Arabidopsis thaliana: one gene and its partners. The protein of the gene in region 4 interacts with the protein of the main gene of each other region in a pairwise test. Each region holds a gene or a part of one and is shown on either strand. Other genes may lie near its edges.

Region 1 (6,676 bases), on a different chromosome or scaffold from region 4:
TAATGTAATTGAAGCTCAAGATTTGATACCAACTGATAAGCAAAGATATCCCGAGGTTTATGTGAAGGCTATAGTGGGAAACCAGGCGTTGAGGACTAGAGTATCGCAGAGCAGGACTATTAATCCCATGTGGAATGAGGATTTGATGTTTGTCGCAGCAGAGCCATTTGAGGAACCTTTGATCCTCAGCGTGGAAGATAGAGTTGCTCCAAACAAAGATGAAGTCTTGGGGAGATGTGCGATCCCGTTGCAGTATTTGGACAGAAGATTTGACCATAAACCGGTGAACAGCAGGTGGTACAATCTCGAGAAGCATATTATGGTCGATGGAGAGAAGAAGGAGACCAAATTCGCTAGCAGGATTCACATGAGAATATGTTTGGAAGGAGGGTATCACGTTCTCGATGAGTCTACGCATTACAGCAGTGATCTTAGACCAACAGCGAAGCAACTATGGAAGCCTAATATCGGTGTACTGGAGTTGGGGATACTGAATGCTACAGGTCTGATGCCTATGAAAACCAAAGACGGCCGGGGAACCACAGATGCATATTGTGTGGCGAAGTACGGACAGAAATGGATTCGAACTCGGACAATCATTGACAGCTTTACACCAAGATGGAATGAGCAATATACTTGGGAGGTTTTTGATCCGTGCACCGTTGTTACTGTTGGAGTTTTTGATAACTGCCATCTCCATGGAGGTGAGAAGATTGGAGGAGCAAAAGATTCAAGAATCGGGAAGGTAAGAATCAGGCTTTCTACTCTCGAGACTGATCGAGTTTATACACATTCATACCCTCTTTTGGTGCTCCATCCTAACGGAGTCAAGAAAATGGGAGAAATTCACTTAGCTGTGAGATTCACTTGCTCTTCATTGCTCAACATGATGTATATGTACTCACAGCCTCTCTTACCGAAGATGCATTATATCCATCCACTGACGGTTAGCCAGCTTGATAACTTGAGGCATCAAGCGACTCAGATTGTATCGATGAGGCTGACCCGAGCAGAACCACCTCTAAGGAAAGAAGTAGTTGAGTATATGCTTGATGTGGGTTCTCACATGTGGAGTATGCGGAGAAGCAAAGCAAACTTTTTCAGGATTATGGGAGTTTTGAGTGGGTTAATCGCAGTAGGAAAATGGTTTGAACAAATCTGCAACTGGAAGAATCCAATCACAACAGTCTTGATCCATCTCTTGTTCATCATCCTTGTGCTCTATCCCGAACTAATCTTGCCCACCATCTTCCTCTACCTCTTCCTCATCGGTATCTGGTACTACCGTTGGAGACCGAGGCATCCTCCTCACATGGACACACGTCTCTCTCACGCTGACTCAGCCCACCCCGACGAGCTAGATGAAGAGTTCGACACTTTTCCTACTTCCCGACCATCTGACATAGTCAGGATGAGGTATGACAGGTTGAGGAGTATTGCTGGTAGGATTCAGACAGTGGTAGGTGATCTAGCAACTCAAGGAGAAAGGCTTCAGTCTCTGCTAAGCTGGCGTGATCCGCGTGCAACAGCGCTCTTCGTCTTGTTCTGCTTGATTGCCGCAGTCATTCTCTATGTGACACCTTTCCAGGTTGTGGCTCTTTGTATTGGAATCTATGCTCTGAGACATCCGAGGTTCAGATACAAACTACCATCCGTTCCTCTCAATTTCTTCAGAAGGCTTCCTGCAAGAACTGATTGCATGCTCTGACCTGCAAAAACTGCTTCCAATACCGAAGAAAACTTCTATAAGACTTGTAGTTTGTTCTTGTTAAAAATATCATGATGACTCTTTTTAGTTTGTTCATTGTTAAAAATGTCATGATGACTCTTTTCTTGGTGATGGTGATGATGTATCCGTCTGTCTTTTAACATTATTAAGACTTTTGTTTGAAAGTAGTAAAGAAGTATCTTGTGTGGTTTTGATGTTCTTGTCACTGGTTAGTAAGTCATAATCTATGCCTCTCTGGTTTTTGTGTTTTATCACTGGAGCTTTAGGAGTTTGGTGCCATTGGGTTGGTTGCTGTTGAGATTAGAGGTTGTCACAGTTTGGTCTAATGGTCAAATACAAGTTTCAAGAAAAAACCATTTTTCTAATACATCCAAAGTTGGTTATAACCAAAAAAACTATCATATTGGGAATATATGTTCGCTAAATAACATTCTTACACAAAAATTCATTGAAAGCTTTGATATTTTATTTTTTTTCCGACCATTCTGTTTGACAAATGTTTGCCAGGTGAGATACTTTTATTCTAGAAAGACCAACCATTAAGAAGAAGAGGGGAATAATTAAAGCAAGCTTAAGAGTTAAGAACACAAAGTAAATGGGCCCAGATATGGTAATGGGCCACGTGACAAATGGGATGATACGTTATGGCAGAGAAAGAATCTTTTGGTAGCTTTTTTGGGTATCATCGCGTAGGTTTCACGCCACATTTATCCATTGACTTTTTCATTACGTCTTTTCATTTATTTTATGATATAGTAGATAATAATTATACCTGGTTAAAATTTAATAATTGACCGGTCAATAACCATTAAAGTGGAGGAAGTAGGACGAAAGGACATTTATTCGCCGCGAAATCTGGACCGTACGATACTCCGATTACCCTTCTAAAGCTTTAACATAGGGGTACATCTGTAACTTCACATTCCATCTTCCCCCAATCTCCTATTTGTGTCTTCTTCGAGTTTATATATAGAGAGATAGAGATTGGAGAGCGAGCGAGACAAATCAGAAGAGAGAGATTTAGATATTGTAGAGTGAGATTCTAAAGAGAGAGAGAGAGAGAGATATGGCTAGTGGAATCGCTCGTGGTCGTTTAGCTGAAGAGAGGAAATCGTGGAGGAAGAATCATCCTCATGTAAGTGATTTCGTGTCTTCTATTTCTCCAAATTCGTGATTTTGATTTATGGGTTTTGGGTTTCTGTTGATTGTTCATGGTCTCTGATTACTGATTGGGTTTCTTCTTGTTGATGGTGAAATTTAGGGTTTTGTGGCAAAGCCGGAGACGGGGCAGGATGGAACTGTGAATCTAATGGTGTGGCATTGCACTATACCTGGTAAAGCTGGGGTAAGTATCAATCGTGAAATTAGGTTTCTTCAGTTTTCTTATTCCTCTGCTTGTTTTCTTCTGGTTTGTATTAGTAGCAACAAAAAAGAGATTGAAATTAGGGTTTATTGATTTGGGCTAAAGTCTTTGTTTTTATCATCTTCTGATTCTTAGTTCTTCAAAGTTTTAAGCTTCACCAGTCTCTTCCCTTCTTTTTCTTTGTGATTCTGTTTGATGATTCTCTCATATTTGCTTACACATAGAGCCGTGGAAGATTATCTAATATGAATGTTAGTGGGAAGAGTAGCTGTGTATCTATCTCCTTGTTTATCTTGTATGATGTTTTTTTATTGGTGCATATGATTTTGGTCTTGAATACGACATTGAAACTGAACTCTGCTGTGTATCTTACTTTGACATGGCTAATAAGAGTGTTACTGCAAGAGCAATTGCTAATATCAATCTTTACTGTTGTTTATAGCTAATTTTACATGTTTCTCTGCTGCAGACTGATTGGGAAGGTGGATTCTTTCCATTAACGATGCACTTCAGTGAGGATTATCCGAGCAAACCTCCGAAATGTAAATTTCCACAAGGGTTTTTCCACCCTAATGTCTATCCATCTGGAACTGTCTGTCTCTCTATCCTTAACGAGGATTATGTAAGTACTCTACTGTTTCTTTCTTTGCATTTCTCCATGAGCAAAAGCCAGCTTTATCCTCAAGCTCTCTTTTGTTATGTGTATATCCATAGGGATGGAGACCAGCCATCACCGTGAAGCAGATTCTTGTTGGTATTCAGGATTTACTTGACACACCGAATCCCGCTGACCCTGCACAGACAGATGGTTATCATCTCTTCTGTCAGGTACATTTAGAAATGAAAACTCTAAACACAATATTAGGTTTTGAAACATAGGAAGGAACTAAGTCGAGTGATTGTTGATGATTATTGTGCAGGATCCAGTTGAGTACAAGAAAAGGGTGAAGCTGCAGTCCAAGCAGTATCCTGCTCTTGTCTAAAACCTCAAAAAAGAGAACGCACCAAAACTGATGACAAGCTCTGAATATTTTCTCGTCTTGTGTCATTATGTTTAGATGTCATTGGGTGATTGAAAACTCCTCATTTTGGCACCTTAAGACACTGGAATCTATTTATTTTCGAAAAAAAACTCTTCTTTCTCTATTTAACTGTTAATATTCTTGGTACTGATTCAGTTGGTGTTGCTTCTATATAATACATAATTATGTTCTCTGGTCGTTCATGAGTGTTGTCCAAATTCTACTAAGTGAAATATGAAGTCTTCATTCCATAGAGTAACGAATCTTAGTTGTGAATCTAGAAATACATATATTTCTAACTTGAAACTACGCTTAACACTTGAAAGTCAAAATCTTACTCCTCTAAAATTTATACTCCACTGATTTTAGACTTTTGAAGTAGTATTAGTGCTTGTTAGTAAATTGTTTGCTACTTGGAACATTTTTTGTCAATGATTGAGATAGAAAGCTTGGAATATTTAACAGAACTTGGAATTTAGCTACGAAATCAAGTGTGCAGAAAGAGATAGGCAAACACCGTATGTCAACAGTTACAAAGCAATAAAACCAAACATTCAATACTTATATACAACTCAATTATTGAAAGTCAACAACAAGCCAAAATCGTCTACAAGTGATGACACTTCAGATATGAAATGTGTGAACTATTATAATCTTTCCTATGATATCATCATCAGCAGATGATTCCTGATCTATTCTATCATCAGAACAATGATTTTCCAAAACGAGTATCCTATAAAATCGTCAAAAGATGATTGACGCTTCTAATAAAATCATCAGAAAATGATACAAGTCTAAGAAACCACCGAACTTGTGAAGATATGTCATTAGAGGATGACCTGTAGATCCATCTATGATATCATAAGAAGATGATGTACTCACTGTGCAGGAACCTTTAAGCAGATATACCTCTATGGTCTCTTCTCCTAAGTAAGGATCATCGCATCTGGTCTCTTCTCCTAAGTAAAGATCATCGCATAGTCATTAAAGTCCGCACCCTCTTCTCCCGCTCTTCCCTTTTAGCTTGAGGAGTGCTCTTCAACTTCTGGATCTCCGCCATCACAATTTTCTCAACTTTGTCAATAGAATTGAGTAGCTTCTTCTCGGGTGTGATGAAGCCAGCTTCTTCCTCAGCTATCTCTTTAGTGATGTCAAGTAACATCTTTTGAACTTTAGCAGTTGATGGTGGGCAACTACGCTTGAATCCCACAGATGGTCCAGGAGTGACCATCGAGCATTTGTGTTCTCCTGACAGTGGTACTGGAGATTCAAGAACACCAACTTGTCGATGAGTTGGGATCTCAATAACTCGGCCATCGTCTCCTCCAGTCCCAGCTCCTCTTCTTCTCTCAATAGCCTGTAGTTCAAGAGTGTCAACAGAATAAATCGCCAGGCTAAGCAAGCCTTAAGGCAACAAATCTATGTGATAAAACTTATACAGATAGGCTAAGCAAGCCTGCTATGATCAATAATAAACAGAAACGCTTTAACAAACCAAACCTATCAGTAGCAGATTCCTAATTCAGCTCAAAAGAAGGATTACAAAAACCAATGGGGAAACTTAGACTCAGAGAAACCATTTTCCATGTGCTACACCACAAACAAGAGAGATCCCAAACATTTAACCAAGCTGCAAAGCAAAACCCATGCCAGACCAAAACTGATTATACAAAGAAGAATCAACAGGAAAACACAAAAGAGCTTGTCAATTTACCCGCACAATATGAGTTATGTCGCGTAGAGGTGTTCTTGGATACCAAGAAGGCAACAAACCACCACCTCTTCCACGCCTAGCGGTCACTATGGGCATATTCTCTCTTCCCTGTGGCAATCTAAATGGAGTGTGACCACCTCTGCCATTACCAGGCCTCCATGTAGTGAAATTGCCTCTCACAAGCCCGCCCGTTCCACCAATAGACCCAATATCTGGATTCACCGGAGATTCAATCAAACTAAGCCGTGAATCTGGCTCGTCAAGTAAAATACCATGTCTCCGTCGGTTGGCAAATATAGTCGAGTAATCCACAGGCCTCTCGGTTCGATCTCTTGCTTCTGGCATTTTGATAACGTCGCTGAAACAAACAACAACATAGATTCAATTAGAGACTGAAACATCAAAACTGAATGAAGAAACCCTAGGGTTTTACCCAGAAATCAAATCGTTCATTTCTCCTTAAAAATCAACCCCAAAATTTCCAGAATAATATATCAAGAAACGGAGAACACAACCAAAGGTTATCACAAACAATCCCAAAATGAAATCACAAATCACCCGATTCCAATTTCAAATCGAGTCACAAGAACACCGGTAAACCCCACCCTAACGTCTATAAACGCAATCAAATAGAAGAAGAAACACCATGGATTTGTGTTTACCTTTGAATCTTCAATAAAGCTATTGATAAACTCCAAAACTGTGTAGAGAGACAATGAGAGAGAGAGAGTGAGAGAGAGAAGAGAGCTTTCTTGGGGAGAGTGACGATCTGGGCAATATTTCAAGGTCGCCTCCTGAGCGGGATTATAATGAGGAAACAAATCCGAAGGCACTGGCACGTGCGGTAG
Region 2 (9,114 bases), on a different chromosome or scaffold from region 4:
TCCTCAGCCTTTTTAGTAACCAAAACTGTCATTGCCAAACACACCGCGAGGATTATGTTCACAGCTCCCCAAAGCCTTTTAGCTCCAATTTTCTTACTAATCACTCCAATAACAAGGGACATGACTCCAAGAACGATAGAGTTAAGCATCAACCCCAACGAACCAACTTGGATTCCGTGGTTGTATAGTTTCTTCATTTTGTCATCTCCTGCTGAGTCTCCACCATACACTTCACGACCCATCCAATCGGTATCGTATAAAAGAAAAGGAAACCATGCGATCCAGTTCAAGGCCGTGACGGCTAGAAGCATCCACATTGGACGTTTCATCACCTTGAAAGCTCCAAAGATCTCGCCAAAGAAGGGAGTTTTCTCATTGTCGGAATCTGCATTAGGCGACCATTGCTTGTCTTCCACGTACCAAAGAGCTATGATTGTGAGGACTATGAGGAGAGTGATGGAAATAATGAAACAGCTCTTGAGATTTGCACAATAGATGTCGCATGCTTTAGTCACTGTGAAAGGGAAAATCTTGTGGAGGTTAGTGTACGATCCCGCAGCGTATCCCAAAACGTTTCCAACGGCCATGAAGAAAGAGAAAATCGCGTTGGCAGTTCGAGTTTTCTTAGCATCTCCGGCTGCTAAATCACCAAGAAAAGCACGGCAAGGTCCTTGAAGAGTGTTGTTAGCCACGTCAAGGATCCAGAAACCGACAACGAAGAAACCAACGGCTCTTATCTTGACAGCTTCGTCGAGTTTATCTCCCATGGTGTGGCCGAAGTCAGCCGCAAATCCAATTAGTATAACAGCAAGGGCAACAAGCAAGGCACCAGTGGCGATGAAAGGTCGACGACGACCGAATCTTGACTTGCATCGGTCGCTGAAGTAACCGACGGTTGGCTGGACGAGCAGACCGGAGATAGGACCACATAGCCATATGAAAGATGACCATTTGTGTGGGACTCCGAGAAGCTGAACGTATGGGGTTAGGAGAGAAAGCTGAAGAGCCCAACCAAACTGTATACCGGCTGCGATAGAAGCCACTGATATCATCTTTCTTAGAGGTGACGGCTCATCAGGAACCACAACCGACGAAGAAGACTGTCTATCAACAGGCGCCGCATCTTCTTTTGCTTGGATGTCACTCATAGTTTCTTCACGTTATCTTAAGAGGTTGTGTTTTGGTGATGGTGAATCGTGATAGAGGAGATGAAAAGAAACGGACTCGTCTCTTAAAGACGAGGTGTGGAAGATGAATGAGATTTATGTTTCTATAAACGTTTTGATTCTGTGTTTCATTAGTTAAGAAAATAAATCATTTATACTAAAGGATATAACGCAAATATCCTTATAGGAATTTGGTAATAATGACAAGACTAACTGAAATCAGTTTATTATCTTATCTTTACATATTCTGAGATCGTGACAGATTTCTTGTTTCTGTAATATGTTTTTGTTTACAATTTCTCGTCAAATTTGTTTTGTTCGTTTTCCTTTTTTAAATTTCTGTTTGCATCAAACCGCATTACTGTTACATATTATTTTGACTTCCTCCACAAGAAAAAGAAGGTGAAACAAATGATATCTCAAAACCCAATTTGGGTACGTTAAGTATCCAAATTGATTATGTCGTCAGTTACGAGCCTAACATAAAATGGTTAAGTATCCAAAATTCCAAAGTGATTATGTCGTAAGATATGGGCCTAAAGTCCATAAACGTGAAAAAGCTTCTTCGATTAAGGTAAAACAAGCAAGTTTTCACGTTATCTTCACTAGATATATGTCTATCAATATTGATGATAATATTAAAGTCAAATTTCACAAACCTCGAACGAAGCTGCAATGTCAAGCGAAGAAATTTGCCAGCAGCAGAGAAAACGAGAACATCTTCTTTCCAGCATGATTGCAAGCTCTCCAAAAGACTAACGCTCTGTCTGAGCATCAAGTTGCGGGAAATCGGGTTTATATGAGTCAGAAACCTGAATGAAAACAAGAGAAGCTGAGAAGCCACTACTCTAATGGCAAGTATAGCCATCTATGATAGTTCTCGAGTACCTCAGTGAAAAGTACACTCCCACATTCCATTACTTCATGAATTCAGTACATATCGCTTGAGAGTTACATCAGACCTTGACGGACAATAACTTCTTTCAGGATAGATTTTGCTAAGAAGTTGTCTGTTTTAGCAACAAGATACAAAGAAAAGAGTACAATGAGTGAAATGTAAAACGACATCATAGAAGGAAACAATGTCCAATTATGATTAATGAACAAGGTTGGTAATACATCAAAATATGAAGTCTGAGATGGATCTCGGTGCTGAAGACGGTAACTTTCACGACCTGACATTTTCGAATCGCTGTTTCCCCTCCCCTGTGCAGACCACCGGCGATGGAGGAGTTTGTCATATAGTGTCTCTGTATTTAGACTGCGTGCCGAATTAAAGTTATAGAGCAGAACTCCGTGTCGGCATGGCTCAATCCAATTCGGTTCGGTTCGGTTCGGTTTAAGTAAGAAGAAAAAAACTTGATGAATAAGGCGATTCTGGTCTTTTTGTTTTCTGTCTTGTTTTGCCTATAAGGCTTAAAATAACATGGGCTTAAAGCCCAATAGTCAATAAACGAGGATAAGCTTCTTCGACTAGGGTAAAACAAGTCTTCACTATATATACAATGCATCTTCGATTATAACCCCCAATTCTTAGATATTAGGGCTTATGTTCTAAATCGTGTTATTCGTATTTATCGTTTTTTTTTTAAATCGTTGCGCAGCCCTTAAGATCGCCTTCCACAAATGCTTAATGGAAGCGTGTCGAGTCATTGCTGCGCTAAATCGAAATTTATTAAGGGTTTTTGATTAGGGTTCTCCTAAGAACTAACCCAGTTTTTACCTTCCTGATTTATTATAGGTCGAGTTTTTTTATATCGGCATTAGATCTGGAATTAAGGTCCTCTCTCGCTGACTCTTCAGATATAAGTGTTTATCTCTTTTATCTGCTAGAGATCTTTGCGTTTGAGGATTTTCAGATTTTAATTTCGTTCATTTAGTATCTCGTTCTATATAATCGGGTAGGATACATTGTTTTTATTGGTTTTGCAATGAAACGGCGAGAATGATGAACCAATTAGATGTGCGAATGAGGGGTAATTTCCTCATTATGAGCTTAAAACTGTTTGAGGCATATTTAACATCTCTGACTTCGCCGCTTTTCAAAAGTTTTGTTTGAGTTTTTATTGTTTGTTTTGGTTTGATGGAATAGTGGAAAATGAGGAACATATAACTCAAACGTGAATCAAACCATGTACCAGTTTTTGCTTATTGATATTCTGATTCCACCATTTGAAATGAATAACCATATTTGCTTTGTTTTCTTGATTTGGTTTGCTGTGTTTACGATGAACTCTCATTTGCTTCTCTGTATTTATTATCTTTTTATTAAGAAGATCAACTCATACGAAATGGTGATGTTTCAAAGTGAATTACTTCCAACCTTGATATCCTTAAGTTACAATTAGCGACTCATGAACTAATCGAAATATGGTTTGCCTTAGTTTGCCGTAAAGTAAGTGATATACTGATATGTAAACGATGTTGGCATGGACTATCTTTCAAAGACAACACCTGAAACAGAATTCTTGAGCTTGGACATGGAAGTGACTAATAATGGAAAATTGTTTATAGATAAAAAAAATAATACCAAATATGAATTGTTAACGACATTTCAATTTTGTATGTCCACTCGGAGATCTTCCTTTGGTTTTACAAACATAAATCAATATCAGAAGTCATAAGATTAGTCTATGGGATTGGCTATTATTTTGTTGTCAGGTGGCAATACTTACCCCAAAATGCCCATCGTTGGTTCAATATGAATATATGATCATCCTATATAGCTCTTTCCTGAGGAAAACAACCAAATATAGCTCTTTCCATTGATCTATTAAAGATGTCATCTCAACAAACCTCAATACTATTAGGAGATAGCTTGCAAATCTTATATCATGTGAGATATCATGAATTCAATTTGAAAAGAGTGAATAAATGGCTTGTTAACTCTTTAACTTTGACAATGATGACTTGATTTTGTGTTAGTTTGCTACCAATATCAAAGCCATTCATAGTGGATGGTTGTAAACTGCCCATTTTTTTTCTGTACAACCTTCTCTCCGTTAACATCTTTGCAAATGAACCCATTGAAGTATAGTACAATATCAAACAAACACATAATGTTTGAGTATTCCCATTAAAAGAGGATTGCAATCAGATAAAAAATATATAAATTACCAAATGGAATAGATCTTAAAAGAAAATAATTACCAAATGGTATTTTACCATATTATAGATTTTTTTATAATAAGTAAAATAATAATAAAATATAAAAGAAAAAAAAGAGTCTAAAAAGGCCCAAAACACTAACAGTCAAAAAAAGGCCTAAAACACAAACCGTCTAAAAAGGCCCAAAACATAGTTCGGCTTAAACGACCCAAACCACAACAAAAACCACCCGATTATCTTTTTCTCTCGGATTGGCGTTAAAAATTTTACTGGCGAGATTTCGGATTGAGGAAAAGAAAAGTGACTGGAATTTAGGGTTTAGACTCCGGCGAAGAAGGAGATTTCAAAGCTTCGAAGACAGAGAAAATGTCGTCGACTCTCCTCGAGCAAACTCGCTCCAATCACGAAGAGGTTGAAAGGTTGGAGCGATTGGTTGTGGAAGATCTACAGAAGGAGCCACCGTCCAGCAAGGACAGATTGGTCCAGGGACATCGTGTTCGTCACATGATTGAGTCTATTATGCTCACCACTGAGAAACTTGTACGCTTTCTCTCTTCTTCTCGTCAATTTTTAATCTTCTTTTCTATTTCCCGCATATGTTTTTATGTCTCTTCTCTTTTGAATACGTTAGATCAGAGCAGAGAAACTTGGGTTGCTGATTTTTTTTTAAATAACAGGTTCGTGTTGAGTGTTGCCTCTTTTTCTGTTAATTGCTTTAGCTTTTTAGGTTATCATTGTGGGGTTTAAGTTAGCTTTGAATCACTCTGGCTTGGGTGTTAAATTGAGAAGAAACTTCAGAGATTGGTGTTGAATATAGGTTATAGTTGGGGTCTTAAGTGTGTATGTAGGGATTCTAAGTTTTGAGCTAAGCATGCTTCAGTGTTATTTCACAAATTTGAGTTAATTTTTGTTGTTGATAATTAACTCAAACTTGGATTAATGCTAACCTTGATTCTTGTTTGTTGTAAGGTTGAAACCTATGAAGATAAGGATGGGGCGTGGGATGATGAGATTGCAGCGCTTGGTGGCCAGACTGCGACAGGGACAAATGTGTTTAGTGAATTTTACGATCGTTTGAAAGAGGTTTGTTCTTTATCCTTTGCACCTTCCTTGGTCTTTTTTCCCTAAAACTTGCCTATGGTTCTCTATACCAAGACTTGGCTTTACTTTAGTTTCTGTGGGTTGTATATTAGAGATTGAGCAGCTAACTTTACCGGACTATTAGTTAATCTAGACATTGTTATTTAGCTGTTGATCTTTTAAAAAAAAATAGTTTTATTGATTGCCTTGAACCACTGTGATGGAGAATCAAGAATTATGTACAAAATCTCAGTGAAAGTGTATTAGTTCTGTTCCATCAACAATTTGGTTAGCTGTATAAGGCTTGCTTTGCATAAGAGTATTAAGGCGGTGAAATTTTCATGAGGACACCCTGAATAAGATTCAAATTGCTAATTCGTTTTTTTTTTATTGTCTGAATTATTTGATTTTCTTGTACCACTGATGAAAGCATCAGAGCTGCAACTATTTAACTTCTTTTATAAACTTACAGATACGTGAATATCATAAAAGGCATCCTTCTGGACGTCTTGTTGATGCTAATGAAGACTACGAAGCACGCCTGAAGGAGGAACCAATTATTGCGTTCAGTGGAGAGGTAGGTTTCTGCTTGACTTTTTATTGTTGCTATTTGTTGACGCATTTTTTAACAGTTTGTAAGCCCCTTTTTTATTGTCAATACTTAAATCTTCTTGTCTGTTACGCAGGAAGGCAATGGTCGGTACTTGGACTTGCATGATATGTATAACCAGTACATCAACTCTAAATTTGGGGAAAGGGTTGAATATTCTGCTTACCTTGATGTTTTTTCTCAACCAGAGAAAATACCGCGTAAACTGAAGTTATCGAGGTAAACACTTCATTGGAATTTTCTTTTACTTAGAAAGCCTCCAATTATTTTTCTAGCTGCAGCTGAATGGCTTTCCTTTTTGTATTGCTATTTTTCATTTTAGGCAATACATGAAGTATATGGAAGCTCTACTTGAGTACCTGGTCTACTTCTTCCAGCGAACCGAGCCGTTGCAAGATCTTGACCGGATACTTTCTAAGGTTTAAGCTCCTCCCTTTCTTTATCATTTTATTGCGTTTACCTTGTTGCCTTATGAAATTTTATGGGCGTTTCGAACTATGCATTAGTACATAACTGGTATATTTATTCGTGCTTAAGAAGTTTCTACTAGTTTCCCAAGTATTAAGTGTAGAACTTTGGATTTGATTTCCTTAGTTCTAACAACTGGTTGCTTTGTGAGTCTTTCATCCCCCTGGAGATAATACATAATTTTGGAAAATAAATGGCCATAACTAGATGGTTGTATTCAATATTCATTGGTGCATAGTTTGCTCTAAGTGCAGAGATTGTATATCCTCGGAAGGTTTTGAACCATGTTATAGTTTGACATTCTGGTAGTTCTAGTTTGGCCAATGCTGTGCCTATTGTTTGATCTGTTGCGATTAATATGTTTGGTTCTTTTACAGGTTTGTTCTGATTTTGAAGAGCAATATGCAGATGGAATAGTAGAAGGCCTGGATAATGAACTTATTCCATCTCAGCATACTGTCATAGATCTTGATTACTACAGTACAGTCGAGGAACTGGTAGATGTAGGACCTGAAAAGCTAAAAGAGGTAATGACCATACTACTTCATGTTAATATCCTTTTTGAAGCATATTCCCCTAATCATATGTTCTTTGTATGCCATTCAGGCATTGGGGGCATTAGGACTGAAGGTTGGTGGTACTCCGCAGCAGCGTGCCGAGAGACTTTTCCTGACAAAGGTTTTTACACTTGCTATATAATCTCCTATTTCTTTAAGTTTCGTCTTATGAGAGGGTACTTTTATCAATTAGTAGCCGCGTTCTTGTTGTTCTTACTGGGTTTGGAAGGAACATTTAGCTGTTATGAAACCTAGTTTGGTAGTTCAGCTCAGCTCTTCTTCTAATATGAAACTAAGGCTTTTGTTGTCATAGTTCATGTTTTGTAGGGATTGAATTCTATTTGAAGCTTTTCTTATTACCTTGAGGTTATCTAATTCCCTTAATTAATTCAATTTTTGTACAGCATACGCCTTTGGAAAAGCTGGATAAGAAACATTTTGCCAGACCTCCACACAACGGAAAACAAAACGGAGATGCCAAATCAACACATGAGTCTGAAAATGCTAAAGAGATTGCACTAACAGAGGCCAAAGTGAAGAAACTCTGCAATTTACTTGATGAGGTTAGTTGATTGAAAGCTCATAGTGACATTTTTTTCCCCCTCCCAGATATCTAGTTGTACTTTTTCTGTTAACTTTTCTTGTTGTCACCTTTTATAGACCATCGAAAGGACAAAACAAAACATTGTAAAGAAACAGTCGTTGACATATGAAGAAATGGAGGGAGAACGTGAAGGGGAGGAAGCTAATACCGAATTAGAAAGTGATGACGAGGACGGTTTGATTTACAATCCGCTGAAGCTACCAATAGGTTGGGATGGGAAGCCTATACCATACTGGCTCTACAAACTTCATGGCCTTGGCCAGGTATGTAGTTTATTTATGAGACCATTGTTGTATCAAAGGAACATAGATTCACATTAAATTTCTTGTTATTACGCAGGAGTTTAAATGCGAGATATGTGGGAACTATAGCTATTGGGGAAGAAGGGCTTTTGAGAGACATTTTAAAGAATGGCGACACCAACACGGAATGCGTTGCCTAGGAATCCCAAACACAAAGAACTTCAACGAAATCACTTCGATTGAGGTAATAATATAATATGATCAAAGACTTTGTACAGCTTAAAGTAGTAAATAGTTTGGTAATTTGATCTTGTTGTTGTTTGGTTTGTTTCAGGAAGCCAAAGAATTGTGGAAGAGGATACAGGAGAGGCAAGGAGTGAACAAATGGAGGCCAGAACTTGAAGAAGAATATGAAGATCGTGAAGGTAACATTTACAACAAGAAGACTTACTCTGATCTTCAACGCCAAGGTCTCATCTGATTGATCACATCCTCTTGATGAAATCTTCTCTCCTTACTATATCCCTTTAAACCATATTCTACCTTTCGCCTTTGTAAAATCAAACCATTCGTCATCTTTTTGTGAGGTTTCGTCTCATTAAAACAGTATTTAGTTTATGTTTTTGAATTGACTATCACAATCGAGGATATAAAATTTGTTTTTGTATGGACAATGCTAGTAAGGAATAGTTGAGGACTTTACTTCAATAACAAGAAACAGATATGAGTTAATATAGGATACTACATGTAAGAATCAATCACTAAAGTTTTCAGATGATAGTGTACTCACAAATTTTGAACTAATTTTTTGATCTTTGATATTCTTACAAAATTGGAATGTTTTAATTTCCTTAATTATCCAATTCCTAACAAATCATTGGTTCCTTTTTTGATAAAACTTAAAATTTGAGTCAAACTTTATAAAAATTATCAAAATAAACAGATACAACCTCAATACCTCATACGACTGTCAAATTTTTTAAAGTAAGCTATCACATAGTTTACCTTTATTTTTTTTTATTATATTTATTTACGATATTTTTTTTTTTTGAAAAATACACAGATATTTGATTTTGGTCAGATATATGTCCATATACGAAGACTTTCAAATTTTATTTGTTTTCAAAAAACCTAAACATACAATCTCATTTTGCTATTTTGGAAAGAATAATGAAATATTCCTTTCTTAATCATATTCCAAAATTTTAATTAAGAAATAAAAGTTGGGATGGGCTTTACCTTTTTTATTTACAGTCCAACGGCCTCATTCGATGACTAG
Region 3 (7,766 bases), on a different chromosome or scaffold from region 4:
GGCTGCTTTTAATGAGGTCCATTTTATTTCATCAAAACAACAGAAGGGTAAAATAGTACTTTACTAAAAGTTGTATTTGAGAGGGAGTTCTATTAGAGAGGAGAGATAAAACTACATATGCCTCCTATCTCTAAAAAAAAATGTCTACTTTTCAAATTATTTTAGCAAAAACTGTCTACTCTCCAACTTATCTTTTTTTTTTATTCTTTTGGTTATATGGGGTGTCAAAATGGGTTACCCAACTCAACTCAACTCATAATCAAATGAGTTTAGGGTTAAATGAGTTATGGGTTAATGGGTTAATTGGGTAAACCATTGAAACCATTAATCATTACAACCCAACTCATTTTATTCATCAAACCAATTGACCCAATAACTCATTTGACCCATCAACTCATTTGAGTCAAAAATTTCAACTCATTAGGGTTCAAAAGTTGCGTTGAGTTGAGTTGATCCATAAATCTTGACCCACTTTGACACCCCTAAATATGAATGTTATTTATCTTGAATTATCTATATATCGGTAGTGATGAAACTAGTATACAAAACTTTCCGAGCAATGATCGTGCTTAATTCCTCTATGAAAATATTTTATAAGAGTGTTGTTTGTAAGCGAATAATAATCGAAGAAAGGACATTATGATTCAAAAATAAAGAATCATGGATGTACTCAGTTATTGTCAATGTATGAATATTTAAATAAATAAATTATGATTATATCATTCTCTGTATTTAAAATTGGGAATCATTGCCGACAAAAAAAAAATTGGGAATCATTCTCTATGGTATATAATAAGCAAATGAATATTTTTTTTAGTTTTTTAATCTTTTTAAACTATTAATTATTTAAATTATATTTTGACCTAGTAAAAAGTATTTATGGGTCCGCCGCATAGGCAGATCCAAAGAGCAAAGATTAAAGAAGGCCAGCTGACCCAACTAAAAATCTACATTTGTGTTATAGCCCTTTAAAATTTATGATATTATTTATATTTCATATGTTTTGACCCTTTTAAAATTACAAATTTGATGTAAACCTTTTAAGTTTTATTATATATTTTCTTCTACTTTGTGTTTTGATACTTTTAGCCTTTTAATGTGATTCACCCATAAATATTGAACCTAATTTGCGGTATATTTTAAACTAATAATATTTTTTAAAACTTGTTAGTTTTTTTTTTTAAATTACTAATTATTTTAAGTTATATTTTGATCTGATATAAAGTATTTATGGGTCTGCCCACGCGACAGACCCAAAAAGATTAAAAGGGGTCAGACGACCCCTCTAAAATTCTATATTTGTATTGTAGACCTTTAAAATTATTTTGTTTTTTCCTTTTTAAAATTACAAATTCATATGTAAACTTAAAGAGATGAGTTTTTTTTTTTTTAGTTTTTGGTTGTTTTTAATTACTTATTATTTTTAAATTATATTTGATGGACCCATAAAAAGTATTTATGGGTCCGCCGCATAGACATCCAAAGACGATTAAAGGAGGTCAGCTGGTTTCCTAAAGTTCAACATTTGCATTATAACCCTTTAAAATTTATGATATTATTTATATTTCTTATATTTTGATCTTCTTAAAATTACAAATTCGTTAGTAAACCTTTTTTTGTTTTTTGTTGCCGTTTGTGAACCCTTTAAATTACAAATTTGTATGTAAAATCCTTAAATACTTTAAAAGATGATCAAAGTTAAAGTTATCCCAAAATTTATTTGCATTGTTTCGTTGAATGATGTGGTAGCATTAGTCTTTGATCTTAGAGATTTGGTCTTGAAAAATGCACATATATAATTTATTACAAGTTTATACGGGATCATTTTGTAGATATATTTATGTAAATATAAAAAAAGTTAGAAAATATTTTTTTATTTTGATGATTTCAGTCGGATGATTGAGTGGTTATGGTAGCGCTACCAAAATATTTCATAATTTTGATGTTTTTATGAGTTATGATGTATAAATCATTTATAATAAATATGTTATGTTTCATCGTTTGTCATAACTTGGGCACATGTTAAATATATGTACTAAAAAATTATGCCGACCTGTTCACTTTTAGTGACCGACCCTAAATTGAAATGACCAAAAACTGGATTGGCTTGGTTTGAAAATTTTGGTTCTGGTAATAATCACATGCCTAACCAGACCTGAAAATTTTGATCTGAGGTCCCTACTAATCTCTCCGGTTAGTATTTGATGATTTCTCTGTATGTTTCTTGGTCGTGATTTGCTTATAAGGACACTAAGTCTTTCATGGTCATTTTTGAGTACTCTTGTGTTCTTATATAGCTCTGAGACCTTATCATACAGCATCAACATACATTGTGAAGAAAAAGAAATCATCTTCCTCAAAGAGGAGGTGCGAGATGATAAACACATCAAATCACAAACATGGAAAACAATTTTGTGTTTTGTCTAAGAAACATAGGCAGATGATTATCGTACAACAACGGAAGGCTTATATATGAGCTGTGTTAATCTTGTCAAAGATAACTGTGATACTGAGTTGCTTCGAAAGTAAGGTTTGAGGTTAGCTTACAGTCTTGGAGCTCATGTCACAATGGGGCTGGTTTCATTTTTGTCTGCTTCCGAAGTCGTAGCAGAGTAAGGCTTCGTGTGGACAAATCTGAAAATAAAGAGGGTCCAAGTTACTATTAGATGAAATCTAATGGTCAAACTCATAGGTGAGTGATGGAGAAAGATGAGAGTATATGTTTATAAAACAAGCACTGCAGATATGCCTACCGATGCCGTCTTTTCTCAAAAAATCTTTGAAGTGAACGTCTCCTAGCAATTGGCACATCTGAGATAAACATGCATCTTACATAAAGCTCATGGGGTTTTCCATACTCGGACTATATAACGTTTACGGTAATCCAATGTAGCAAGTCCTTACCTGCTGTCGATACGCAAGCTACTGTTGATGCGTTTGAGAATGAAATAGCTCTCTTTAATGCTGGATTTATACTGGTCAAATTAATTGTCTCAGTGGCTTTAGCTGCAGCAGCGATATGCAGAATTTCTTGAACCTATTAAGTGTGATCACCAAGAGAACAAGAAATCTCATGCAACTGCTTCCCAACAAAAACGAAATACGAATGTACTCAAAACTTGGATGGACCAAACCTTTTCAGCTGGAATACCATCAAATACGCTAAAACTCCCACCAAAAATAATGGTTAGTTGACTTGGAAGGATCATTGAACCATCTGGCTTCGTGGACCTTCAATAGAAGAAACAAGAGCTAGTTATGAATGATGGAAGATAATAATAATCCACCCAAATTTTAAGACCCTATTGATGCAAAAGGGAGAAGAACAAAATAGTGATTCCACTACAATATTACAGCCGCTTAGGCTATCAACTAACCTCAGTCCCATCAATACATCAGTTCAAACAACCTACTAAATTTAAATCATCTGATGATGTCATCTAACAGTAGATAGAAGGCTATTTTTGCATTCAACGGTACCAAAATCAAACACACAAGCCTAGTTCAAATTCAAGCTCATAAAACCGATACTAAAGAATGGGCAACAACATCTAATGTATTTGTGAGGCATGATCACTAAGAAATACACAATTATCTGGTGGCCATAAGTCAGCCAAATATGATATAGAAGTAGAATAATACATGAGAATAAAAGCTTAAACACTTGTAAGAAAAAAAACTAAAAGACTATCTCAGTTTCCGAAACCAGTCAATGTATACAAATTAACATTCACATAGATCCAGTCTCTTCATTTGCTTAAGCTTCAACAACCTACCTACACATGAAAATTCCTAAATGCAAGAACAATATTTGACGTCACAAACTAATACATACTAACAAATCAGATTCATACACACTAACACTTCCAGAACTATCAATATGTTAATAAAGCAAACACTGAATATCTAACTACCTGTCCCGTCTCTTCTCGAGAAATCTTTGAAGCGAACGTCTCCTAGCAATTGGAAGATCTGAGACAAACAGGGATTAATAGTCCGTAACTCCGTAGATAATGCTTACAGTAACCGAATGAAGCAATTGCTTACCAGCTACAGTTGAGAAAGAAAGAGCTCTGTTCAGTGCTGGATTGATACCGGTCACATTCTTCGTCTGTTTACCAGCAAAAGCGATGCGAATGATTTCTTGAACCTATTAAGCATTGATCACCAATACAATTAGAAACTCTGATGCAACCAACATAAACAAAATCAGAATGTATGTACTCAAAGCTAGATGGACCAAACCTTTTGTGCAGGGACACCATTGAAGACTCTACAACTCCCACCAAAGATAATAGTAAGTTGAGTTGAAGCATCTGGCTCTGTGGACCTTGAAACAAGAGTTTGAAATTAAACCTCTTGAGTTTCCCAAATTGATCTGCTAATTTAACAATTCATATAGATCCAAGTCTCGTCAATTGCTCACGCTCCTATAGTGTACTAAGAACTAACAAATCACAGAACTATAGGCTAAGAAAAAACTTCAAACACAAAGACAGATAAAGAGAAATGAGAATTAACGATTCAAATTGATTCCAGTTACTAGTGATACATACCTAGCTTCGTGAATCGATCTCTCAACGAGCAAGTCAAGTCCGGCGGAAACAGAACCGGTCCCGTCGGCGAAACTAGGAACGGGGAAATCTCCGTTTACCTCAGCCATGAGCCTCTCTGTGAATAATATCTGTCTTCTCCGTTTGATTGGGAATTGGTTCTCTTCTCTACGCAACGTTCGTTATTCGGTGTATTCATTATTCAATCAATTTTGTTTTCTTTTTGTTTTTCTCAGAAATATTCCAAAAAAACCTCAACTATTTGATTATTTTATATATCTAACTACTTATCTAATAAGTAATAATGCCTTACCAAAAAAAAAAACTACTTATCTAATAATACCTATTTATTTTCATTTGTTCTTGTAATATAGACAACTATTTAAAAAAATAAAATAGTGGACAATTTTGTTCGATGTGAAAAACTTAATACTCTTTACGCATCCTTTTTAGTACATGCATACCGCCGTTATCGTATTGCTAAAATAAATTAAATAAGATATATTAACACAAAGCTAACTATATAATTATGATGAAAAAATCAAAATATGTAAATTAGTCGAAGAACATTGAATCATTTTGATATTGAGGAACCAAAAATTAGAAAGAAATAAGCAAAAAAAAAAGAAATAGAGAAACGATTTGGTTTTTAAAGTTTGAAAATCTAAAAAGTAAAAATATATGAAAAGAGAATTAAAAATGAGACACTCATATCATTTTTCTATGATAATTTCCAAAAAGGCAAAAACGTATAAACTAAAAAAATACAAAGTAAATAAGAAATTTCTTTTCGTTTCAAAAAAAAAAGAATTAATTTTTTAAGGATAAAACTATAATTTGTTTTTAGAGCGTATGTATAATCTGCCAATATTTCTAGTTTGGGTTTTATTTGTCACTAATAAATTAGTTTGAGTTTTTTGACAACCGAAAAAGTTGAGGTTTTTTTGGCAAATTTTAATAGTTGAAGTTTTTTTTGGGAATTTTCTCTTCTATTTAAAACTCTATGTCGTAAAAGGTACAACAGTGGAAGCTTCCACTTCACCAACAATTCAGCTTATAAGCGGAGACCCAACTTAAAAAGTCCAATCCATAAAGATACCCCTTTAAGGAACTAAGAAATATAACAAATCCAACACAAAACCATGTGTGAGCCTATGAAGTAAAGTTGAAGTAGATGTTGTCGCCGTTCGCCGCTCATAGCCGATATGGTACGAAGCGTAAGGGAACTCCAAAACTACCGAAAACCGTCAGAGCTTCAAGAAATAAGTCCACAGGTTTTTAACTAGAGAATCCTACCAACTACATCATCAAATCTGTAAAGAAAAGATCTTCACAAGGGCAATGACTCCCGAACTCCAAAGAACATCAACGTAGATATTAAGCCGATGGAGCTTTTCAGCAACACCTAAAAACAAAAAGGAAAACACTCGTGTCCATAGATCAATTAGACAAATAGCCTCAATTGTAGATCATTCGCCATCTGAGATCGATTCCAGTGAGAAAAATCATCATTGATTATAAAAGCAAGCTTGATTCTTCTAGGTTTCATTGTTCATAAACCAATCGAACATCAAAATAGAGATTTACAGCTAAAAGCAATATTAGTGTGCAATGAAATTGTTTTCTTTTCTGCAACTTAAGATGTAACTCTTTGGATTGATTCCTGCAAATCGCAAACTCAAAAGATCAAATTGGATAATAAACACCTTTAAGCAAAAAAACACCTAAATTTCCAATAGAGGATCTATGAGATTATTGAAAGAAAAAAAAAAAAAAAAACATCAGATACACTGATAAGAAAAGTAGATCCGGCCAACGATGGTCATGGAATTCGAACGCTGTCAGGCAAGAGCCAGCCATCACTGCTAAAAACGACAGAGATGTTAGATATAAAACCCAACTATATTAAAACACATAAACGTCGGAATGCCATCAGGCCAGCGAAACAAAAGAGAAAACTTTCCCTTTTCTCTAAGATTTTTTAGAGAGAGAAGAGAGAGAAAGCTCGAAAACAATCTATTTCTTTCTCATTTTGTTCTTTTTTGTTTGTTTAAATGTGTAACTTAAGAAAAAAGAATAAAACAAAAAAAGGCATCAAGAATTTAAAACGTGCGTGAAAATAATACGTCGTCGCTTTGAGACTTTCCTTTTGAGAAACATAGAGCTGTTGTTAGTACTTGAGATACTCGGTAACATCAGTAGGTAACATGCATTTGCCCACCCAATCTTTTCTTTTTTTTTAGGTTTAAATTTCCATTAAAGATAAAAGCAAGTTACAAAACAAAGAGTCCAAAAAAAGGCACGCAAGCCCGAAAAATATACACGGCAAGAAGCCCAAATCCAAGTCACGCAGGCCCGAAACTAAACTTGAATGGCCCAACAAGACCCAAACAGCCCAAAAAGAAGAACAGAGAACGAAGGAACTGCCCTTAGCTGAAGAAACGAAACCAAGTAGAGAGCAGAGAGGATCCTGGAGAATCAAATTCACTACGCCGAGAAATGGGATCAAGCTTTGACCATAGAATAACCTTAAGTTCCTCGATGATCAAAGCAGAGGTACGGGGAGCATGAGAATGGATCTGACGATTGCGTTCTTTCCATAAGAGATAAATAGAGGCTTGGAACACTAGCTTGATGATGAGACAGAGATAAGCATCACACGAAGCCGAATTAATCCATAAGAGGCAGGCCATGAAGGGGACCGGAGGAGATAATCTTGTTCTATTCCTGAAGTGACTCCAGACCGCCAGACTAAAGTCACACTCAAAGAAGAGGTGATCTCTAGACTCCGAACTTCCAGAGCAAAGGACACAATCCGTGGGAATAGAAATTCCCCAACTCCGCATTCGGTCCCTAGTGTGAAGCCCTGTTCCAAGCCACAACCCAATTGATGAACGCATGATTTGGAATATAGTCCTTAAACCATATAGATTTATGCCACAGAACCGGACAGGTAGATGGGTGCAAAGCGAGCCAAGTTAGAGTAGAGGAGAACAATGGTGTGGGTGGATGATGCTCGAGCTTCCAAAGATAGACATCATCCACTTCACAATCAATGATATCAATCCAATATGGCAGGGCGTTTTTGATCGTCGAAATGATGGGATTACGACTTCGAGAAGTCATGATCTTCCATCCATTGCAAGATGTTGCGTCTCTAACAACCGCTTTTTTGTTCAACCCGATAACTTGAGGTCCTAATGGACCCGAGAG
Region 4 (6,872 bases):
ACCATCCATCTCTTACAACCCTCCAAGAACACTGGCTGTTTTCCTTCACTTTCTAGACAAAACAAAAACCATCTTCTAGAGAAAATAAACCAACATGGGAGAGACAGAAACCATGGCAACAAACTAACTAAACCATAGTATATATTATCTATACTAATATTATCGGCCCATGGGTAACGGAGACAAAGTCATGAGCCACTGGAGCTTCCACATCCCACGTCTCCATCATCATGAGCATGATCATGAAAAGGTACCAAAAGGGTGTTTGGCAGTGAAGGTAGGACAAGGAGAAGAGCAAGAGAGATTTGTGATTCCCGTTATGTACTTTAATCATCCTTTGTTTGGACAACTCTTGAAGGAAGCTGAAGAAGAGTTTGGTTTTGCTCAAAAAGGGACAATCACGATCCCTTGTCACGTTGAGGAGTTTAGGTATGTTCAAGGATTGATCGATCGAGAAAACACTAGATTTCTCGGTACTAATCTCCTTGATCATCACCATCATCATCACAACCATCTCATCCGGTGTTTTAGGGTTTGATGATATTGTTTTGGCTCTTTTTAAACTAGATATTATCTCATGCTGCTGATTATAAATAAATCTCGGTCTTCATTTCATCTTATCTTAAGGTGTGGCTTGTTGTTGTTGTTGTTGTTGTTGTTGTTGTTGTTGTTGTTGTTGTTGTTCATATATATATATATATATATATATATGTCTCATGATGATTAATTGTACGCTTATGCCCGATCATAAAAATAGAAAATCATCATCTTGTAATAATATTAAAATAATATGTATGTTGAACAATTAATATTTAGTTATTTACTATACTCAATCTCTTCTATGAGTTGACTTGTCAATTGAAATTTTATAATTTTATTAATGATTTGGAGAAGAAAGTAATTTTACATTTTTCCATTTTTATTTTAAAAATCATTTTTATTTTAAAAATCACTTTAGTTCAGGTTTTTTGTTGCTAAAATGTAAATATTCATAAGAATAAAAATGTTTAGGTTTACAGTTATATATTTTAGACTTATAGACTTGGTCTTATGGCAAAAAAAAAGGATTAAAACATGGAAGGAAAAACAATCAGTTTGTCGACTCAACGTATGCTATGAAGCAAACAATGTTAGAGAAAAAGATAAAGTGATACAAGATTTTGAAGTTCCTCCAAAGTGAGTTACAAAAGATGAAATTTGGCAATGAAAATTTATAAAAACTTCAAAAGTGGAAGCCTTTCACTGGAGGCCAATGGACTGATTCTATCGGCTTTGCCAAACTATTCTACAACAGGTTAATCATTTGGAGAAGAAAGTAATTTAGTGGTTATTTCACATATATACCACCATTCATCAATATAACTTCTATGTTACGTTTCCGTTCATAAAGATATGTGAAAACGAAGTTCCTGTAAATGAATGATTAAGTTAAGAAATTTATTCGCTAAATCTATAAATTCATCTGATCAACATTGTTGTCTACGCAATTGTTGTTCATTAAATCTTTACGGTCACAAAAATAACAACCTCATGATATGTTAGAAAAACTTTAATCATACACTTGCAAAAAAAAGTGAAGCAAAATCTACCATAAATATGCAATTGTGCAGTGGTCTTCTCCTCTTAATTTTGTTTGAAGTACGTATATTCGAAACTTTATTTCGATTATAATTTTTCGTACGATTCTTTATAAGTAAAGCAAAATAATGATGGATTGAAGAATCTTGAAAATGGAAAGAAATGGACGAGAGGCTTTTGACCATTTGTATGGCCAGAATAACAACACTCACTACCAAATACAATAACGTGATTTTGTTTAATAGATTAGATGCGGTAGGAATATATTATTCTTCGTGAACTAAAACCATGTTTTATAACGACAAAAAAAAACCCATGTTTTATAAGTTTATGGGCCAAAATTGGGCTTTTGTATTATAAACATGTTTACGGAAGTATTCAGCTAAGTATATATAAAAAAAAACAATTACACTAATTTATTTAAATTTTATTATTACCTACTTACAATTAGTAAAATTTAAAATTAACAAAAAAAAAACTTTTACTTACTTTTAGTTATTGTTTTAAGAAAAAACATCATTAATTACCCTACTTTTTTTTTTAATACTAGGAGGTTCTAAGCCAAAACATCTTAATTATTATATTGTTTATATGTCTAATAATATCCATAAATGTATTAAAAAAACTTAAAACATAAACTAAAGGGTAATAGATCATAATATTATTGAATGGAGTAAGAAAATGTATAAATTATAATTCAAAAAGAGAACTATAATCTGCTTTTCTACCCAAATGAAGTAAAATAAGACATCAATTTGCATTTCAATGGTCAGTTTTAAAGGTAAAATTAAAGACGTTAAACACGTGTAATGTAAAAGAGATCACTCATGAGTCATGACCAACCATATTCTTAGTTTATATAAGTAATTCACACCCCTTAAAAAGAAATATAGTCTATAATCAATCATACTTAGCATGAAAACGATGATCAAGTTTCTGCTGTTAATACTGGTGATCTCTCCTATGTCGATATGCGCCGAGAAGGACATGATGATAAATGAATGCCACAATGCAGACGTCCCAGCCATATGCATGCAATGTCTTGAATCCGACCCAAACTCCATTCACGCCGACCATATAGGCATAGCTGGCATCGTCATAAACTGTCTTGAATCCCACCTCCATATCATCACCAAGCAAGTTTTCACTTACAAATTATAACCAATATACAGAAATATCCTCTAATATATCAATTTTTTCATTTGTGTAGTAACATAACGAATTTATCGTCAAAGAAAGATAAAGGTGAAGTGAAAACAGCTCTGGAGATTTGCAAAAAAGACTTGTCGACGAATGCATCTACAATACTGTCGGAAGCCAAAACAAGTTTGAAAACCGGTGATTATGATAAAACCAACAAATCGATAAAGCTTGCGCTTGGCTTTCCTCTGAGATGTATGTTCAATCTCAAACGTGTCAAGTTCACGTCTCCCCAACTATTTAGTCAAATCAATATCTATGCTCAACTCTCTGACGCTGCTATGAGGATCATTGATCGCTTCTAATAAGTAATAACTCCTTATTGTTTTCTATATAACTCAACTTCGATCAATGCTTACCCCAATTTGAATAAATCATTTCCTTTATGAAATTTATAAAGTCACATATATCCATTTGTTGTAGCTCTCATGTTTTTTTTTTCTTTTCAAATTTGTCAAAATAAGTTTTCGTTTGAACCATCATTCAATATAAATCTAAATGATATATTGTCTTTTTTTTTTTTTTTTTTTTGGCAAAGAATGATATATTGTCTATTTCATCAAAGTTGGACCACTATACGATAAATTGTTGTTCTTATAACGTTAAAGTAGGAAAACAGTTCAGTTTTCACGTGACTAACTTACTACTATTGGAATATTTATCATAAACTTTAATTCACGAAAATCATTAATGAAAATTTGATATTACTACTATAATATCGTCTTCTCTATTAATTTAGAATCTTATTCATCCTTTTCCACTTGTCTTCTCTAACCCTCTAAATTCTCTTTGGTCGGGATCACTGGAAAGAAATGTATAATCTCACTTTCTCTCCATCATTGTCCTCTTCTTTGCTCTCTTTTACACAACAAACTCCTGCAGCCATAGTGTCCTCTTCTCCTCCGGATTTAGTACTTCAACAAAAACTCCGGTTTGTCGTGGAAACCTCACCGGACCGATGGGCTTATGTCATTTTTTGGCAAAAGATGTTTGATGATCAATCGGACCGGTCTTACTTGGTTTGGGTTGATGGTCATTTCTGTGGAAACAAGAACAACAATTCCCAAGAAAATGTTCATTTTTCTTTGCCTCTTATGTTATCTAATCAAAATATCCAAAATTTATTTAAATCAACTTCTTAAAAAAGTTCTATTAAGAAAATAATATAATTTTCCTTACCCTTGATTTTTTGTTTTTGTTTCTTTCTTAAGTATACAACAAACAGCATCGAGTGTGAGCTGATGATGGACGGTGGAGATGATCTGGAGTTGTTCTATGCCGCATCGTTTTACGGTGAAGATAGATCGCCGAGAAAGGAAGTATCCGATGAATCTTTGGTTTGGTTAACCGGTCCCGACGAGCTCCGGTTTAGCAACTACGAGAGGGCTAAAGAAGCCGGTTTTCACGGGGTACACACATTGGTCTCCATACCCATCAACAATGGCATTATCGAACTTGGTTCGTCTGAATCAATTATACAAAACCGGAACTTTATAAACCGAGTCAAGTCCATATTCGGGTCGGGTAAAACAACAAAACACACTAACCAAACCGGTTCTTACCCTAAACCGGCGGTATCAGATCATTCGAAAAGCGGAAATCAGCAATTCGGGTCGGAAAGAAAACGGAGGAGGAAACTTGAGACGACAAGGGTAGCTGCGGCGACGAAAGAGAAACATCATCCGGCGGTTTTGTCCCACGTGGAAGCGGAGAAGCAACGGAGAGAGAAGCTAAACCACCGGTTTTACGCTCTACGTGCCATCGTACCAAAAGTGTCACGAATGGACAAAGCGTCACTTTTATCCGACGCAGTTTCGTACATAGAAAGTCTTAAATCCAAAATCGATGATCTCGAAACTGAGATCAAGAAAATGAAGATGACGGAGACAGATAAATTAGACAACAGCAGCAGCAATACGTCTCCGTCTTCCGTTGAGTACCAAGTTAACCAGAAACCTTCAAAATCAAACAGAGGCTCTGACTTGGAAGTGCAAGTGAAGATCGTCGGAGAAGAAGCCATAATTAGGGTTCAGACAGAGAATGTGAACCATCCTACGTCGGCATTGATGAGTGCGTTAATGGAAATGGATTGTCGTGTACAACACGCGAACGCGTCGCGCTTGAGTCAGGTTATGGTTCAAGATGTTGTTGTTTTGGTTCCAGAAGGATTAAGATCGGAAGATAGGCTTAGGACCACACTTGTCCGAACCCTAAGCCTATAACAATTTCTTTGTTTTGTGACGTCAACATAGGATGTGATAATAATTTTTGTTTTTTTTTGCGACCTTTTGTTTTATTTGATAAGTACTAGAAAAATCAAATTCCTTCTAGCGATTAATGTTGTTTTATCAAAAGTTTGATCTCGTTGATACGTAGTTTATGTGTTACTTTTTTACTTTATTTCTCGTACGTACGTACTAGCTCGCTAAAAGCGCAAAGTGTTTGGTATATTGTCTTACTAAAACAATATAGAGACTGTATATTTTAAAAGAAACAACTCATTAATTGATCATTTGGAAATATTAGTTTGAAAACCATAGAGAAGACGGAGGAATTATAGACACACACACGCTTGTCCTATAATATTTAGGACCACTCTTCAGTGATAGCTTGCTAACAAATCAAGTCAATTACGTAATGAACTACCAATGCTTTATATTAATTATTCTTGGACGTACTGTTATATTAAGACACTGATTGGTTAATTTGGGGAAAAAATATTAGTACAATGCACAGAAAAATAAAGGGTACAATAATGTTGAGAAAAAAAAGTGGTACAATAATGCAAAGAGAAGAAAAGGGTACAATAATGCAATTGAATTGTATCTTTCTTATTTTGTTTGCTAATTACTAATTGCAAAAAATGTTTTTGTGCTTGAAAAAGTAATCATTCTGTATCTAACATTCACATATAAAACAGAACTAAACAATTTTGCATTTACTTAATGAGACAAAAATGTTTTGTTTTATTTGATGATCATGGTTTTATGTTTTTCTAAAAGAAATTAAAATATGTTATGCAACAAACTATCATGTGTCTATGTATACATAACCTATGATACAATATAGTTTCGACCTTAAGATTAAGTTTCTTTGACAGAAAGTCAGAAACAGTTATCTTTCACATGATCCCTTCTTCAATCCTGCTGCAACGATGTAACGGTTATGCAAAAATTTACTGATAGGTAAATCACATGAAAAATGGCCACATGCAAAAATTATGCCCGGTTCCAACTTCTAGGTTAATATGGTACTCAACAACAAAAAAAAATATTAACAATAAATACGTGTTTGTCTTCTTCTTCTTTATAGATGTTTCACTTTATAAATAGACTGTAAGTTTTTAAAACGCAATAAGAAAAACAACTGAAATCATTTTAGAAATCTTATGCGTGCAGAATAAATATTGGTGTTATGTGCATTTGAAGCTTTAGGCTTTAGCACTTTCTAAAACCTCGTTTTGAGCAAAGTCATTCAAAAGGAACTCTTAATATTTTTACAAATTGAAATAGCAATTGTAATTTAATCAGTAAAACCTCTATAAATTATCATGTTTATTAATTTATAGAGACAATATTTGGGCTAAAATATCAATTTGAGAACGGAAGAAAATTATTAATTTAATGAGATATTAATTTATTGAATATTAATTTATAGATTTTTGACTGTATATATTCTAAGCTTTGTTTTAAGAAAATTTAATCCGTTTAAAAAGATTTATCTTCATTAACCCCAAAAGAAATGATTTGTTTTAGCTTGGCCAATAGTCATGTATGGCCCAATCTGGTATAAAATCTCATAAAAAGTTTTATCTTCATTAACCCAAAGAAATGATTTGTATTAAGATGGGCCAATAGTCAAGTGTGGCCCAATTAGGAGTAAAATCTCATAAACGAAATGGGCCCATAATGGCCCAATATTTGTACACCACAATCGGAAACCCCTTTTGGGTCATTTCAAGTTTGACGAGAAACGTAAATCGCTATTTCTTCTATTCCTCCCTAAAAATCTACCAACGAGATTCTTCTCGAAAATTTCCTGCGCCTCTCCGTGTCTGTGAAATCGATTCAGGTAAATCACTCTTCTCGAATCGA

What was found.
Region 1: the proteins of AT4G00870 (region 4) and SCE1 interact in a two-hybrid assay, tested with the Arabidopsis thaliana proteins (one study listed by BioGRID).
Region 2: the proteins of AT4G00870 (region 4) and ATO interact in binary tests that used the Arabidopsis thaliana proteins (3 or more experiments, as listed by UniProt).
Region 3: the proteins of AT4G00870 (region 4) and JAZ11 interact in a two-hybrid assay, tested with the Arabidopsis thaliana proteins (one study listed by BioGRID).

The regions. Positions count from the first base shown.
Region 1 is NC_003074.8:21,426,230-21,432,905, reverse strand, and holds SCE1 (sumo conjugation enzyme 1), read left to right. Parts: upstream 1-2,507; 5' UTR 2,508-2,795; coding exon 2,796-2,864; intron 2,865-2,990; coding exon 2,991-3,074; intron 3,075-3,561; coding exon 3,562-3,714; intron 3,715-3,806; coding exon 3,807-3,920; intron 3,921-4,012; coding exon 4,013-4,075; 3' UTR 4,076-4,410; downstream 4,411-6,676. Other genes in the region: AT3G57880 (Calcium-dependent lipid-binding (CaLB domain) plant phosphoribosyltransferase family protein), read left to right, coding at 1-1,708; UVI4-LIKE (UV-B-insensitive 4-like protein), read right to left, coding at 5,085-5,471, 5,829-6,173. UniProt on the Arabidopsis thaliana protein: SUMO-conjugating enzyme that accepts the SUMO proteins from the E1 SUMO-activating heterodimer SAE1/SAE2 and catalyzes its covalent attachment to other proteins with the E3 SUMO ligases SIZ1 and MMS21.
Region 2 is NC_003076.8:1,861,825-1,870,938, reverse strand, and holds ATO (splicing factor-like protein), read left to right. Parts: upstream 1-4,505; 5' UTR 4,506-4,640; coding exon 4,641-4,814; intron 4,815-5,243; coding exon 5,244-5,357; intron 5,358-5,826; coding exon 5,827-5,931; intron 5,932-6,040; coding exon 6,041-6,183; intron 6,184-6,286; coding exon 6,287-6,383; intron 6,384-6,809; coding exon 6,810-6,959; intron 6,960-7,038; coding exon 7,039-7,110; intron 7,111-7,393; coding exon 7,394-7,552; intron 7,553-7,649; coding exon 7,650-7,856; intron 7,857-7,932; coding exon 7,933-8,079; intron 8,080-8,169; coding exon 8,170-8,316; 3' UTR 8,317-8,614; downstream 8,615-9,114. Other genes in the region: SUC9 (sucrose-proton symporter 9), read right to left, coding at 1-1,148. UniProt on the Arabidopsis thaliana protein: Splicing factor homolog to SF3a60 that may be involved in pre-spliceosome formation. Is necessary for gametic cell fate determination.
Region 3 is NC_003074.8:15,364,567-15,372,332, reverse strand, and holds JAZ11 (jasmonate-zim-domain protein 11), read right to left. Parts: upstream 4,788-7,766; 5' UTR 4,664-4,787; coding exon 4,557-4,663; intron 4,331-4,556; coding exon 4,246-4,330; intron 4,151-4,245; coding exon 4,048-4,150; intron 3,973-4,047; coding exon 3,915-3,972; intron 3,232-3,914; coding exon 3,135-3,231; intron 3,038-3,134; coding exon 2,905-3,037; intron 2,812-2,904; coding exon 2,754-2,811; intron 2,635-2,753; coding exon 2,559-2,634; 3' UTR 2,176-2,558; downstream 1-2,175. UniProt on the Arabidopsis thaliana protein: Repressor of jasmonate (JA) responses. Targets MYC2, MYC3 and MYC4 that are JA-dependent transcription activators.
Region 4 is NC_003075.7:360,358-367,229, reverse strand, and holds AT4G00870 (basic helix-loop-helix (bHLH) DNA-binding superfamily protein), read left to right. Parts: upstream 1-3,520; 5' UTR 3,521-3,590; coding exon 3,591-3,851; intron 3,852-3,989; coding exon 3,990-5,000; 3' UTR 5,001-5,297; downstream 5,298-6,872. Other genes in the region: AT4G00883 (uncharacterized protein), read right to left, coding at 1-52, 155-514; AT4G00880 (SAUR-like auxin-responsive protein family), read left to right, coding at 170-538; AT4G00872 (Plant invertase/pectin methylesterase inhibitor superfamily protein), read left to right, coding at 2,494-2,714, 2,789-3,083.